Linked DNA regions of Sus scrofa. The protein of the gene in region 3 purifies or fractionates together with the protein of the main gene of each other region. This does not show direct contact. Links are inferred from orthologs where the notes say so. Each region holds a gene or a part of one and is shown on either strand. Other genes may lie near its edges.

Region 1 (4,817 bases), on a different chromosome or scaffold from region 3:
AACCGCGGCTTCCAGAGGTTTTGAAAAAGGAGCCTTTGGGGGCCCAGCCTGCCTGGCATTCTAGTGTGGAAGTGCAAAAGATTGGCACATTGGGAGAGAAAGAGAGGGAGACGCGAGGGAAAAGGAGCATCTGGGTATCAAGGAGGGTTTTCTGGTCCCTGGAGCTGCAGGGCTGGAGGACTAGGCAGACCTCTGCAGATAGCAGCGAGCAGCAGACTAAGGCAAAGGCCCACAGGTTCTCCTAGACTCTGTAAGGACTTGTGCTCATTTCCAGAAAAGTCAGGAAGAATGGCTTCAGGGCATCAGAGAGGGAGAACAGTGGAGAGGGGAGAGTGGAAAAATACCCCTTTCCCTCTGCTATCTGGGTGGACGGGGTGGGAGGGGCGTTTGGGAACCCTGAACATAAGAGTCCTAGAAAAAGCAGGTGTGCATCTCTCCAGCCTGGACTGAATATGGCTGGAGGGCAGAAGCTGCTTGTACTCCAGAACAAAGAATAGGAAAAATCTGCCTTGCGAAAAACGATGTGGACCCAGGACTGCCAAGGCCACCAGGGCCAGGGCTGGCTACTCACTGCAGGTGGCTCAACGAGCCGCACACAGCCATGGGATACGAAGCACCTCCAGTGGAGGCACTGCCAGTTAAAAACTGGCACTTAGCTGGTTTAAGCCAGCTCCACCCCCGACCTTAGCTGTAAATGCAAGGGGAACACTTCCCAAATGGTCTGCCTGCCGAACACCATCGCTGGGCTCCTGACTAGGAATGCGGTTAATAAGCCGGCATGACGATGAGCTCGTTGCTAAGGATGACGATGAGAGCAACGGGAATGCGAGGCTCCTGAGCGCACCCTCGAGGACCTCCAATTACCAAGACTACATCAGCCTCACAAAAACCCTGTCCGGCCAAGCATGACCCTCTCCCACCTCACAGGTGGGGAACTGAAGCAGAGGGGCAGAGACTTGCCAAAGGCACACAAAGGAGAGAACTAACCTCCCGCTCCTGACTCTTAGCTGGCCAGCTCTCCCTCCAGCTGTGAGAAAACCCTAACCCTCACTGCCCCCAGCGTCTTCATGATAACCCGAATTTGTCTATGACATTCGGTCACTGAAGGCCAGTGACTCCTGTTTGTGGACGTCCAGCTCCACGTCCCCGAGTCGCAGGTGGACCGCAGCGCCTGCTCCCCCTCAGCATGCGGGCTCCCCTTAGGTTCTGCTCTCACAAGCACGCTGTTCGGCTTCCTCTACCATCCCAGCTCTAGACGCAAGGAAATGGAGCCAGCATTTCTGCTGAGAAGTCAATTTCCCAGGACAAAGGTAACGACTGAGGCTGACAGGTCACAAAGGCATGCAAAAGCGGGCTGAGGGGCAGACAGGGGAGGATGTAGTGTTCAGTGGAATTACCCTGAAAATCAGCAAGGAAAAGAAGAGCGCTTTCACTTTAAGACAGTGGTTAGTGAATGAGAGGCACGCCAGCCTGTGTGAATAAAGCCAGCCCAGGCAGAGCAACGGGGAGCTGCAGAGGGGCTCCCGCAGTGTAGGTGGGCAGGGAACCTCGCCAGCCAAGAACTGCTAGGGTGGCCAGAAGTACTAGAGGGGAAGACTGGTCTGTCCCGCCTCCTTAAGTCAGTTTTCCCGCACGACCCCGTTCCTCTGGGCCCAACTGAGGACCTACTTCTGCTAAACTTAGGGAAAGGCCCCCCCGAGCCCGCACGACACGTACTTGATGCTGTCGGTATGGGTTTTGTACTCCATAATGGTGTTGGGAGGTAGGTTAAGCACGCGCCGCAGGGTGTCCCGGATGCGGGCTGTGGTGGCCTGGTCGCTGGCAGTCTTGTTCCAAATGGAAATAATGTCCTCCTAGAGGGGCAGCAACAGAGGCGTCACCAAACCAAGCGGGGCCGTGAGAACGGCAACGGCAACACCCGAGAGCAGCCCGGCCCGAGGGGCGGCTTACCTGAAACCGGACCGAGACCACGGCCCCACAGATCTCCTCCCCAACCATGAACTGTTCCCCCAGCATGGCCAGGATGAGGTTCTCCCAGCAACGGGACGCCAAGCCCTTCCGCAGCCGAATGATCCACTTGCCACCGTTTTTATTTGCATCGTCCTGTAAAAAGAAAGCATCAGAGGTAAAACATGGTTTCACAGAATTCCCGTCGTGGCGCAGTGGTTGGCGAATCCGACTAGGAACCATGAGGTTGCGGGTTCGGTCCCTGCCCTTGCTCAGTGGGTTAACGATCCGGCGTTGCTGTGAGCTGTCGTGTAGGTTGCAGACGATGCTCGGATCTTGTGTTGCTGTGGCTCTGATGTAGGCCGGTGGCTACAGCTCCGATTGGACCCCTAGCCTGGGAACCTCCATATGCCGCGGGAGCAGCCCAAGAAAAGACAAAAAAAAAAAAAAAAGAAGCCAACTGCAGTGGCTCGGGTTGCTACAGCTGCTGTGTAGGTTGTAGCTGTGGCTCGGACTCAATTCCAGGCCCAGGAACCATAAGTACGGCCAAAAAATAAAAATTAAAAAAAAAAAAAAGAAAATATGGTTTCACAGCCTTTTTTTTTTTTTTTTTTGGCCAAGGATGCTTTGGTCACTAAGAAGTCTTAGCACTTTCCAATTACTCAACTCTACAGGAAAAGCGGTGGTAGGAGCATGGAGAGAAGAAATGGGAAAAAAAAAAAAAAAAAGTCCAAACCGTTAACAAAATAATGGTCAAACAGACTCTTTAAAAATAATCTTTTTTCAGAACCACATCAAAATGAAATGATGCCAGATTTTAAACACAGATCATTCCTCACTTCATTTGCTAAAAGTTTATCAAGTGTCACCATGTCCCAAACACACAGACATGAAGCCACAGTCTCTACCCGGACCCAGTCCAGTGAGGGAGCCAGACGAGAGAATGAATGACAGCAGCACAGTGTGACAAGCACCGCTGCGAGACAGACACGCACAGCGGGTTCAAGATGAACGAGACAGTCGCTAACAGCCGGGAGGAAGAAACCTCTGGAGCTGGGTCTTGAGGCGCACGGGAATTAGCCGGGCAGTGCCGGCGAAGCCCCCTGCAGGCACTTGAGACACGACTTCGTGCCAACTCTGCCTGTGAGACAGGGAGCTGCCACCCCGGAGGGAGGATTTAGAGAAGACGGGCAAGGGGTCCTGACAGGTAAACGAGGTGCGTGACCAGGTGTGCTACGGAGAGCTCGGAAGAGCTGCAACTGGGGGGGGTGACCACGTCTGTCTTCTACAAAAAGGCTCTGCCACCGGAATAGAGACGACGGATGAGCAAACGGGTCACAGAGTTCAGCTCTGGGTCTCCAGTTACTGCCTGTAGGCTCACTTTTTCCTCACTTTAATCGTTTGTATACTATGATGATACGCACACACCCAGTTCTATGTGAAGAGAGTGATTTTTTTAAAAAAGCCCTTTAATGTCGTTAATAATACCATTTTAGTACTAAAACAGTCTTTGAAAACCATCCACACAGACAAACAAGGGCATCAGTGCCATTTCCTAGAGGTCCTGGTTCCAAGATATACCAAATAGTGATATAGCTTTTAGAAGACTTTAAAATACCTTTTTTTTTTTTCCCTTTTCTTTTCTCTTTGGGACCATACCCGCAGCATACGGAGGTTTCCAGGCTAGGGGGTCAAATCAGAGCTACAGTTGCCTGCCTACACCACAGCCACAGCCACGGGGGATCCAAACTGTGTCGGCGACCCACACCACAGCTCAGGGCAACACCAGATCCCTAACCCACTGAGTGAGGCCAGGGATCGAACCTGCAACCTCATGGTTCCTAGTTGGATTCGTTTCCGCTGCGCCATAATGGGAACTCCTTTAAAATACGTTTAACCTTGACATGACTGAAAAAAGGGAAAAAACAAAAAACCCCAAACATCATCACCACCACCACAAAACCCGCTGAGAAAGGCAGTCTGAGGCTTTCAGTCCTCACCTCCCACATGGGTTTAATTCCTTCTTTGAAGAGATGGAAGTCACTGTGGCCTGTCAGGTCCCCGGGACGTACCATGTGGCTATAAAACCTCCAGAACTGCTCCACCTGCAGAGAAGACAGCAGAGTAAAAAAGATGTTTCTTCCTTGAATGTTGAGGCATATTTAAGAGAAGAGCATAAACACGGAAGACACTGCTAGAGGCTCTACTTTCTGTAGGATAGATTTCATTCAGGGGCTCATGTGAGAAGGGAGGTGTATTAGATAAAGGCAGACGTACATAAAAGAATAACGCAGTATTGCTGATACAACAGTAAACTCTTTAGGTGAGAAATGCCAGCCTCAGAGAGGAGCCGTAGTTGGTGAAGGTCCACATGTGCCTCCTGCAGAGGCCGCAGGAGAGTCATCGCTCGCTGTAAGAGGACCTTGTTTGACACAATAAAAACTATTTCGTCTTGAGGTAAATTAAGGGCCACAGAACCTCAGCCTGAATGTATTTTTGTTAAAGAACCAAATCACTTCAAAAAAAAGGGGGGGGGGGCGACAGAAGTTCCAATTGTGGCTCAGGGGAAATGAATCCGACTAGTATCTATGAGGCTGTGGGTTCGATCCCTGGCCTCATTCGGTGGGTTAAAGAATGGCGTTGCTGTGAGCTGTGGTGCAGGTGGCAGATGTGGCCTGGATCTGGCATGGCTGTGGTGTAGGCTGGCAGTTGCAGCTCCAATTAGACCCCTAGCCTGGGAACTTCCACAGGCCACAGGAGCGGTCCTAAAAAGCAAAAAACAAACGAAAAAAACAAACAAACCAACCCTACAAAAAAACCCAAGGCCCCCCCCCCCCCCGCCAGTATTAACTGTGTTCGTCAACCAGTCA
Region 2 (4,817 bases), about 140 Mb from region 3:
AAGCTTTGAAAGTCTTGACCTGAGCAGACCTAAGCTCAAATCGTGACTCTACACTTTCTAGTTGTGTGATCTGGGGCAAATCCTGCAACAACCCATTCCTTCCCAATATCTCCAGCCTCGGGTCTCTTGTCACTAAATGAGGAAAACCAGGTATTATTTTAAAGTGGTGCCTAGTTCATGGTAAACACGAAGTTAAATGATTACTTCATATATTAGCTATTTTTGTTCATGTTTTTTTTCATGTTTTGTATGTAAGGAAATTAATATCAGAAAGGCTAAGTGGCAACAAGGGTGCCCAGACCACTCAATAGGAAAAGGCAGTCCTTTCAACAAACGGTGCTGCGAAGCTGGATATCCAAATGCAAAGCAATGAAGATGAGGCCTTACCTAACAACATATAAATAAAAAAATTAACTCCAAATGGACCAAAGACTTTTAAACAAATGGACTAAACGTACGAAACTCTTAGTTTTAAGAAAAGAGAGGAGGAAATGTTAATTTGAATCTGACAGTGACTTCTTGGGTACGACACCAAAAGTAAAGGCAACAAAAGAAAAAAGTAGATAAACTGGACTTCATCAAAATTAAAACTTAAGAATAAAAAGACAACTCACAGAATGGAAGAAAATATTTCTAAATCATATACTGATAAGGAATTAAAACCCCAAATATATAAAGAAATGAAAAGATGCTCAACCTCACTAGCTATCAGGGAAATGCAAATCAAAACCAGGATGACAGACTCCTTCACACCCATTAATTTGCCTATTATGAACAAACAAAAAAATCATACTCCCCCCCCACACACACAAAAGGAAAACAAGTGTTGATGAGGAAGAGGAGAAATTAGAACACTTGTGTACTGCTGGTGGAAATCTAAAAATGGCACAGCTATTATAGTTTAATGGTTCCTCGAAAGTTAAACATAGATTACCATATGATTAAGCAATTCCACCTCTAGATATATACCCAAAAGAATTGAAGGGAGGGGCTCAAAAGGAAATTTGTGGACCAAGGTTCACAGAAGCATCATTCACAATTGCCAAAAGATGGAAACAAACCAAACATCCAACAGATGCTAAATAAATGAATGGATGAATAAAATGTGACATATACTTACAATGGAATATTATTCGGCCTTAAAAAGAAATGAAATTCTGACACATGCTACAACATAGATGAACCTCAAAAACATCATGCTAAGTGAAACAAGTCTGACACAAAGGACAAACATTGCATGATTCCACTTACATGAGGGATGCAGAATAGGCAAATTCATAAAGAAACAAAGAAGAATTGTGTTTACTAGAGGATAGAGGGCAAGGTCATTAGGAGGAGTTCTTGTTTAATGAGTACAGAGTTTGGGATAAGGAAAAAGTTCTGGAGGTAGATGGTATGGATACTTGCACAACAAGGTGAATGTACTTAATGCTAAAGAACTGTACACCTAAAAATGGTTAAAATGGTAAATGTTATATTTTATCACAATAAAAAATCAAAATCAAAACACGAATTTAAAGTCTAATCCATTCTTCTATTTTCTTCCTCTTAAATATATAGAGTTTTTACCATATAAACTAATGGAAACAAAAATATCTATGTCTTAAATAGTGAAATTTTAATTGCTTACAAAGCCTCTTCTTGGTTAAATTTAAAAACTGTGAAAGTTTCTTCCCACGGGGAATGGACTAAATGACAAAACGTGACCATTTTTTTTCTAAAAAAAATCTCACCCTGGTATTCACGAATCAATATACACAGGTGGAGTCTCATAAAGCGCACAAAAAACTTTTAATTCATAAAAGAAACTACAGTACACAGGAAGACAGTATTACTATTCAAAATAACTACTAACCTCCTGACCTCTCTACCTCTCCATTGGCAAAAATTATTGCTGCATGAGTAAAAACACGCAGTAATCAACCTCTCCAGCTTCTCCCCATTGGACACACTGCTTTCTAAGAATGAGTGCCACTCATTCATAGCAATTTCTTGCCTATTGACACATGACTTTTGAATATTAAAAATGTATTTTCAACCATAACAATTTTTTGGAGAGAAGCCTTTAGCGTATGGGAAAAATGGAATATAATTATAAAACTAAAATACAATATCTTACAAGTATAATTTTATAGGATCAAATTTTACATAGAAATAATTACAAAGGATTACAAGCAAAGCACATGGTTATCTCAAAGGTGCAAAAGCGTAAAGTAAATTTAAATGAGCTAAATAAATATATTCCCAACCTTTAAAATACTATCACTAATTTAAATACACTTTAAAGGTCAATTACTATTACTGCTTTACTTTGATTTCAAAGCTGCATCAAATGGTGAAAATGATCTGTTTATATTTTCAAAGGCAAGCCATTTAATGCCACCAGGAAATACTTTTCATTGTCCTGAAGAGACTGTACTATATAAGCTGATCAAGAAAAGAAAGTAAGTATAAATGTAAAAAATGCCCATTTGTTAAATGACAAGAGTAAGATACCAAACTATAAACAGAGTATGGCCCCAAAGAGCTGAAAAACATTACACATAAAACAAAGAACGTATGCTATTCACTAGTAGTATCCTTTTTGGATAGGTAACATTATAGCATAAAATCCCCCCTTTCCCATAAATGTGTTATGTTCAGGTGGTGTTAGTCAATGATAACCTGCAAACCAATCTCACAGTAGGCAGGGTCTAAATGTGTTGCTTCAGCACAACTGAAGTTCACCTTATGTCAAGCATCCCCAGAACATACTCATAAATATCAACAGGTGGATACAATGCACACAAAAAAATACTCTGAAATGTAAAGAATGGATATTTATAGGTCATATGATTATAGAACATTCCTATTATATCTTTATTTTTGTGTGTTTTCTAAAATTTTCTATAATAATACACTACTTTTATAATCAGAAAAACTATAAATAAGCATATTAAAACAAAACAAAATCAGAAAGACCCAATCTAAGAAGTAACCTTTAGAACACATCAAAAGAGAATCCACCCCTTCCCTAAATTAATTTTATTATTATAATCAATTTGTATCTTATTGATGATGAAATTTCTTCCCAATGTCTCTTTGAAAAAGTTCCCAGACTTAAGCATCAAAATAAAAAAACAAAATAAGGAGTTCCTGTCGTGGTGCAGTGGTTAACGAATCTGACTAGGAACCATGAGGTTGTGGGTTCGAGGCTGTGGGTTCGATCCCTGGCCTTGCTCAGTGGGTTAAGGATCCGGCGTTGCCGTGAGCTGTGGTGTAGGCCGCAGATGCGGCTTGGATCCCCTCTTGCTGTGGCTTTGGCATAGGTGGCTGCAGCTCCGATTAGACCCCTAGCCTGGGAACCTCTATATGCCGCAGGAGCAGCCCTAGAAAAGGCACAAAGACAAAAAAAATAAAATAAAGTAAAATAAAATAAAATGATTTTCAAATTCTAATTTCTTGTTTTTCTGGATTAGAGTAACATTAGTTAAAAGTAACAATAGCATCATCACTTGTAAAGTGAGTTACTAATTGTGGAATAAAGTTACACTGAATTTATAAGAACAGTTAACAATTAAACGTTTTAAAACTTACAGGAAATCCTTTAGTGATAGGAATTTCAATATTAAAGATGAGGATTCGGGCTCTGAAACGCGTGCAAGCCTTAATGGGTTCTTTGGGGCCACAAAATATGCAGCCAACACTGTAACAACAACAAAACAAAAACAAACAAAAAAGGGAGAGCAGGCACTTGAGAGAATGAAACACACATCCAATAGAAATATCTCTAAAGCCATTTACAAGATAAAGCAAGCACGTAAATTAGGGACTTTTCCTGAACATTCCCTTCTGGGTTAATGCATGGCTTTACACCATTATTAACCTTATATCACTTTTATACCTTACAGCTTTCCTTCAAAGAACATGTCTCAGGTACAGGTACTGACGTGTATTAATTTCAACTTTAGGTTTTGTTTATCATTCATATACTTTCATAAGTGCCTATTTTTGGCCAGATGAGATTCAGAATTAATACTCATTCTTTCATTTGAGCTGGTGAATTGCAAATTTTACGTGTTTTGAGGTTCTCTATCCAAAACAATGGTCGCTTAAACTCATTTTCTCACTCACTTGATTTTGATGATATCCATCCCAACCAACGTAAGACTAACATGATCGCCCGCTGCTGCCCAGTCGACAGGTTCATCATGCAGAGTGATTCCTGGAAATGAGTAAGAACCAAAGCATACAGTGAAACACCTCAATATCAACCCATAACAACCAAGGGAGTTTGGCTGACTTGTGCCTCATCAGTCACTACTCATCATTTTCAATATGAATGGACAGAGAGTGAGAAGTGTTAGCTGTGAGCGTTGAGGAAAACACACTTCCTCTAGACTTGACTCTTCTGGACCACCACCCTAAACATAAAGTGTCTTGCATTTGTCCATAAAAGGATGATTTTGACTTAATCAAGATTTTTTAAACTCACTTACATAACTGGTATATTCATTGAACAGGCCTCATTCTAAAACTTCTCTTCCATTAATGGATGCAGGCATAACAGTACATAGAGTTCCAATTCCTCCCCCAACCCGAGGCACAGGGAAGTTCCCTGGCCAGGGCGGTTCCCTGGACAGGGATCGAATCCGAGCCACAGCTGCAACCTACACCACAGCTGGGGCAACACTGGATCCTAACTTACAGTGCCACAGTGAGAATTCCCCAATTATTTTTAATAACATAAAAGAGGGGATTGGGGAAGGTATTCAGTAGTATTTTAATCTCTTAGGCTTTGCTTTAATCAGACAACTACCTAAACAATCGCCTGTGTT
Region 3 (5,525 bases):
TCTTTTTATACTCCTGGAAGCCTGGAAGTAGGAGCTCAAAAAGTGCTCACCAAATGGGAAAACCAGGGTGTTATCCTGTGGGGCCCGGTCCATAACACCTCAGCCTTTGTTTTCACATTTAGCATATTCACAGACACTGTAAGGCAGTGGAAAACCAATAGTTTTCCATCAAGTTAACAACTTTTGAAATGTTCAGGAAGAAAGACATTTAAATTCCAATTCTTTACTTCTGAATGTCCCAGGAATTGGTTTTTAAAACAATCCTTAATATTAAAAATATTTTAGAAAACAGAAATTGAAAATGCTTGGCAGTATGTTAGCCACCTGAATAATAACAACAAATTGATTTTAGTAGCAGAAATTGAAATACGACACCTGGAGCAGCATTTAAACCTGGGTGTATATAAACGTCTATATCTTTGTGTCTGAACAAAATCAACTTCAAGCTCATATAAAAATATTCTATCTGAAAAACCTAGTTAATGCATATTTTTATGAACTCAGCATAAAATAAGGACAACTTAGCATTTTCATACACAAGTAAACACACTTCATCTTTTACTACCAAGATCTGAAGAAACCACAACATTTAAAAAAGGATAAACACATAATTTTTGCTTAACTTGGGTGTTAAGAGATTGGATGTGTAATTCTAATACACTATTTCCCTACAGTCTTCAAGTGCAAATCATCAATCGTTTCCCAATGTTAAAAGAAGGAAAACCATTTTTTTACTGTATTCATGTTTAAAAGGTGAACAACTGTTCTTCATTTAGATACAAGGCAAGCATTTTAGGCTGATTTCAATAAGAAATCCTTTTTTTTTAGCAAACACAGTTTCTATGGTTGCTGGTTATACTAGTAATCTAAAAATAAAAACAAGTTATTTCTGGTTTCACTGAATAAATCACCACCAGTACAATTTAACTCCACAATAAGGGAGCCTAAAATTTAAGAACACTTTCTTTTCCCCCAGGAGGAATAAAACGTAAGCTTCTGAAATAATGTATCTATAAATAAGAAGATTAAATAACACCCGTTTCCAACAAGAAATAAGCAATAGCTCTGCTACTTTAAAAATGCAAACCAAAAGCCAAGAATCTTAAATACCCACATCCTGGGGACACTGCAGTTTATTGATCTACAGTCGCATCTTTTGGCCAGGTGTTGAAGCAGAAATATAAAATAATGTTACTGCATTCCTCACTAGCAAAGAGAATGCCAAATTAGTTCAAAAAGTCCTTTCTGACAAAAATAATGAATTCCCCCCTCCTCTGCCACCAAGGGACCTTTTCTAAAGGGGAAAAAAAATCCTCTCTATAAATAAATAAATAAATAACAGATACCTCCGGCCTCTTTGATGTTGCACAGCTTGACAAGCAGTTTGCATGAAAATAATTCCCTTCAATTCAGGAAATTCAAGGATCTCGAGATAATCTTGCACAACTTTCCAATCTGGGATCATGTAATGAGTCACATCACTAGACAAGAGTTTTCCATCTGAAGCATAATTCAAAATGTGAGAGATTAGACGACGTTCGCAAACCTGGTTTATTTGGATGTCACTCCAGGTGTGCAAAACAACTCCCAATCTTAACTACACCGTGAAGTTTTCAAGACAAGACAAATCTACCTGGGTAGAGGCCAAACATTCAGGTAAATTCAGCACCTTCATTTTTTCTGAAGCTGTGATAAATAAAAGCTCAATGTGGTTTATGGTGTTGCCAGGGGTGTAGAAGACGACGGATTGAAAAAAAAACAACACACATGCAAGCAAGCAAATCTTCAGCATAACCTGAATATATCTCTGTGTTAACTCACTGCCCTACACTCCCATTCAAGTGGGGCTCCCCAAATATACATGTTAATCGCTGTTTAGGCACAGCCATTTCAAACTGGGTCTGTCTCAATCTTGTGAAGGTGCTCAGAAGTCTCCAAGAGCCAGAGAAATTGAATTGACTAGAAAAGATGCTCAGTGCAAGCAGGCACAGTGGTGGGATTTCCACCCAGCCCGTGGGTCCAAGGTGGATAGCCAAGTGGTAATTGAAATGTTCACCTTAACCATTAGCTAAGGATCCCAAATATTCGCTGAAAAGGACGACCACGCTCCTCTCCCACTTCAGGGAAGAGAACCAGGAACCTCCACCATTAAACTGGCCACCTGCGCGGCCTAGACATCATGTGGAGGAAGGCGTGGTGGAAGGCCCACCCCAACCCAATTTCCTCGTGACCTTCCGGTGCGCGGGCCCTGATGAGCCGCAAGTCTTACAGTGAAGAGGGCTCTCCACCGGATAACCTTCTGAGGCCTCGGTGCTGGCAGGTCAGAAAATGTGTGGGGAGCAAAGCAAAGAAATATACAATGAGCAGCGGCAGCGTCAGCTCCCCCCACCAGGCTCGCACAGCTGGGGGCCCCCAGCCCGGGACCTTCCCATTTCACCAGCGCGAGCTGGGGAGCAAGAGCCGCCCGGCTCCAGCGCCCCCAGGCTCAGAAAGCCCCAACCCCCGGCCTCTGCGCGGCGAGGGCGCTGGCCTCTCAGCCCTTCCATTTTCTGGGGCCGAACAGTCGGGAGTCGGTGTGGAAAGACCGGAAGCTTCCGGCCCCTCGTGCCCGACCCGCAGCCCGGCCCGGGGGTAAGCCTGGAGGCGGGAGGAGGCCCGAGGGCCTCGGACTCCGCGCCACCGCGGCCCCGCGCTCCGCCTCTGGGCCGCGCCCTTGAGCCTCAAGGCCGACGCTCTGCCGAACCCGTCCTGCCGCCCTAGCTCCCTCCCGGCCCCGACCGCCCGCGCTCCCGCCGGGCCCTGACCGTTGTGGCAGGAGGCGGGCTGAGGGCAGAGCGGGCTGTTGCAGGGCACGCTGGGCCGCAGGTAATGCTCCCGCACGATCCGCAGCGTCCGGCCCTGGAAGGTCTTCAGGAGCAGCACCTTCTCTCGCTTCTGCAGCATGGTGGTGACGCTCCCCGGGCAGAGCTCCGGGCTCCGGGAGGCCGCCCCGAACGAGCGGCCGGGAAGCCGCGGGCGCAGCGCTGCGCGGGCGGAGGCGAGGCCGAGGCTTCGGGCCCGCCCCCTCGGCCCCTCTTCGCGGGGCTCCCAGCCGGCCGGCCTTACTGGCGGCGGCCTGAGCCCTCTGGGCTCCGGAGGGAAACCGCCCTAATGGCCCGCGTCCCGGGTTGAGAGCAGGAGGCCCGCGGGGTGGGTGCTCCAGCCGGGCCCGCAGGCTCCCTCAACCCCGCCTCAGTTTCTCCCCTCCCTACAATCGTACTGGGGTGGAAATGCCTGGGAGGGGCGGAAACCACGCAGAAGACTTAAGGGAGACAAAGTTAATACAGGTCTTCCTCCACTGACGGTGGCGTTACGTCCTGATAAACCCAAGTCGAAAGTTCATTTAACACCCTTAGTCTACCCAACATAGCTTGGGTTTAAGCTTAGCCTACCTTAGACCCGCTCAGAACACTTACTTTGGCTTACGGTTGGGCAGAATCATCTACAAGCCTATTTTATGACAATGTTGAATGTTATGTAATTATTGAATGCTGTACTGAAGGTGAAACACGAAATGTTTATAAGTGTATCGATTGTACCCCTCGTGATCTCGGACTGTCCAGGGAGCTGGGACTCAGTGGCTGCTCAGCATCACTGGAGTGTCCTGTGGCATATGGCTAGCCCAGAAAAGATAAAAATTCCATGTGGGTGTCACTTTCACACCATGGTAAAGTACACAGATTTTAAGTGGAACTGTGGTAGGTTGGAACCCATTGTAAATGGAAGTAGTTTAGTCTTGTGAAGGTTTGGTACAACTGTAGAGAACTATTATTCTACCCTCTGGTCCATATGGGAATAGGGCCGCCTTATTGATACGGATAATTATTAGTGTTTTGTATTAATATAATTATTTGTGTTTTCTGTTCTTGCTCTTGCCATCCCTGGAAGAACTAAAAGACTGAGCAAATAAGCCAGGAACCCTGCCAGCTAAACATTTTTTTCCTCTTTAAAAAGCTGTATTCATTTTAAATTTCATGTATTTTTAATCTATATAAAAATTCAAACAATGCAGATAAAAATGGAAATCAATCCCTCCTTCCCTTGAGGTAAACGTTATCCATTCAACCTCAACATGAGAGCATTTGCAGCCTCTGGCAAAAGATTTCTCCTTTAAATTTGCTGGATACTAACACAGTCTTTTCTGTGATCACACACCCTTGGTTGTCCACTCTACCTCCAAGCTCTCGACACTTTTGAGCTGCTCCAAGAAGCTTTACAAAGAAGCGTCACATTTAACTGCCACAAGTCAGTAGAGTTGGGCATAATTATTCCCATTTTACAGATGATGAAACAGGATTGAAGAGGTTAAGTGGCCAAGATTACCCAGTTGTTAACTTGTAGAATCAATATTCAAGTCAGGATCTGGCTGAATCCAAAGTAGGCTCTTCACTAATTACTATGCTATCCATAGATGAATGAAATATAGCTCTTTTATCTAAGGAGTTGATGGTCTACTTGTTGAGCTCTAGTTAAGGCAGCTCAACCAGCTGGCTGGATATATTGGAGCTTCCTGCATTGCTAAAGTGAGCAGAACCAGGGCATTCTGTTTGATTACCTTCTCTAGGGGAACATATTAAAAAGTCATGGTCCTTTACTCATTGTATTTTTACTCAATTTATCTGCAGTGTGGGACGATGTGAGATCCGAGATGGAATTGCACAGGTTAGGAGAACATTACAGTGCTGGTCCACAGGCCAGAGCACTAGGAGGGCTCACAAGGCAACCTTCTGTGCAGGAAGCTGTTCCTGATTCAAGAGGTCAGTTCTAGTGATCCCAGAAGACAGAAAATAGGATTTGCCCCCTATGTAAAATGCTTCTGACAGCTGCCCACAATTTCCTCCGAAGCTCTCCCATTTTCATTTCTCTTCTTTTTTTGAATTTTTTGGCTGCACCTGCGGCATGTGGAAGTTCCCAGGCTAGGGGTCAAATCGGAGCTGCAGCTGCCAGCCTACATCACAGCCACAACCACATGAGATCCGAGCTGCGTCCGTGACCTACAATACAGCTCACAGCAATGCTGGATCCTTAATCCACTGAGGGAGGCCAGGGATTGAACCCACATCTTCATGGATACTAGTCAGGTTCATAACATGCTGAGCCACAATAGGAACTCCATTTTTCTCTTCTGATTACATGCCTTTAAGTTCTCTCTTTAGCCTTTCGTAGCTTTAAACTTTCAGCTGGGACTGATGATCTTATAAGGAAGAGAGTGTGTCTAAGGCTTTATTGAATGTTGATTTTATCAGCATTTAAAATAAATCCAAGGCCCATCAAGCACTTCTTTTGCTTGCATTGCAGCAATAGTGTACAAATTATGCTCTTAAAAGCATGCTCCCTTAGTTCTTTTTTTTTTTTTTTTTTTTGTCTTTTTGCTATTTTTTGGGCCGCTCCCGCAGCATATGGAGGTTCCCAGGCTAGGGGTTGAATCGGAGCTGTAACCACCGGCCTACGCCAGAGCCACAGCAACACGGGATCCGAGCCGCGTC

Evidence for each region.
Region 1: the proteins of DIS3L (region 3) and EIF4E2 purify together in Homo sapiens (affinity purification with mass spectrometry; 3 studies listed by BioGRID and IntAct, with this or other methods). This does not show direct contact. The link is inferred for Sus scrofa from reciprocal best matches to the Homo sapiens genes DIS3L and EIF4E2.
Region 2: the proteins of DIS3L (region 3) and HBS1L purify together in Homo sapiens (affinity purification with mass spectrometry; 5 studies listed by BioGRID and IntAct, with this or other methods). This does not show direct contact. The link is inferred for Sus scrofa from reciprocal best matches to the Homo sapiens genes DIS3L and HBS1L.

Annotation. Positions count from the first base shown.
Region 1 is NC_010457.5:133,074,280-133,079,096, reverse strand, and holds part of EIF4E2 (eukaryotic translation initiation factor 4E type 2), read right to left. Parts: intron 4,053-4,817; coding exon 3,948-4,052; intron 2,104-3,947; coding exon 1,951-2,103; intron 1,854-1,950; coding exon 1,717-1,853; intron 1,399-1,716; coding exon of another isoform or gene 1,332-1,398; exon of another isoform or gene 61-1,331; coding exon 1-60. UniProt on the Homo sapiens protein: Recognizes and binds the 7-methylguanosine-containing mRNA cap during an early step in the initiation. Acts as a repressor of translation initiation.
Region 2 is NC_010443.5:29,041,404-29,046,220, reverse strand, and holds part of HBS1L (HBS1-like protein), read right to left. Parts: intron 4,205-4,817; coding exon 4,114-4,204; intron 3,686-4,113; coding exon 3,577-3,685; intron 1-3,576. UniProt on the Homo sapiens protein: GTPase component of the Pelota-HBS1L complex, a complex that recognizes stalled ribosomes and triggers the No-Go Decay (NGD) pathway.
Region 3 is NC_010443.5:164,307,941-164,313,465, reverse strand, and holds the start of DIS3L (DIS3-like exonuclease 1), read right to left. Parts: upstream 3,347-5,525; 5' UTR 2,944-3,346; coding exon 2,805-2,943; intron 2,321-2,804; exon of another isoform or gene 1,670-2,320; intron 1,501-1,669; coding exon 1,347-1,500; intron 1-1,346. UniProt on the Homo sapiens protein: Catalytic component of the RNA exosome complex which has 3'->5' exoribonuclease activity and participates in a multitude of cellular RNA processing and degradation events.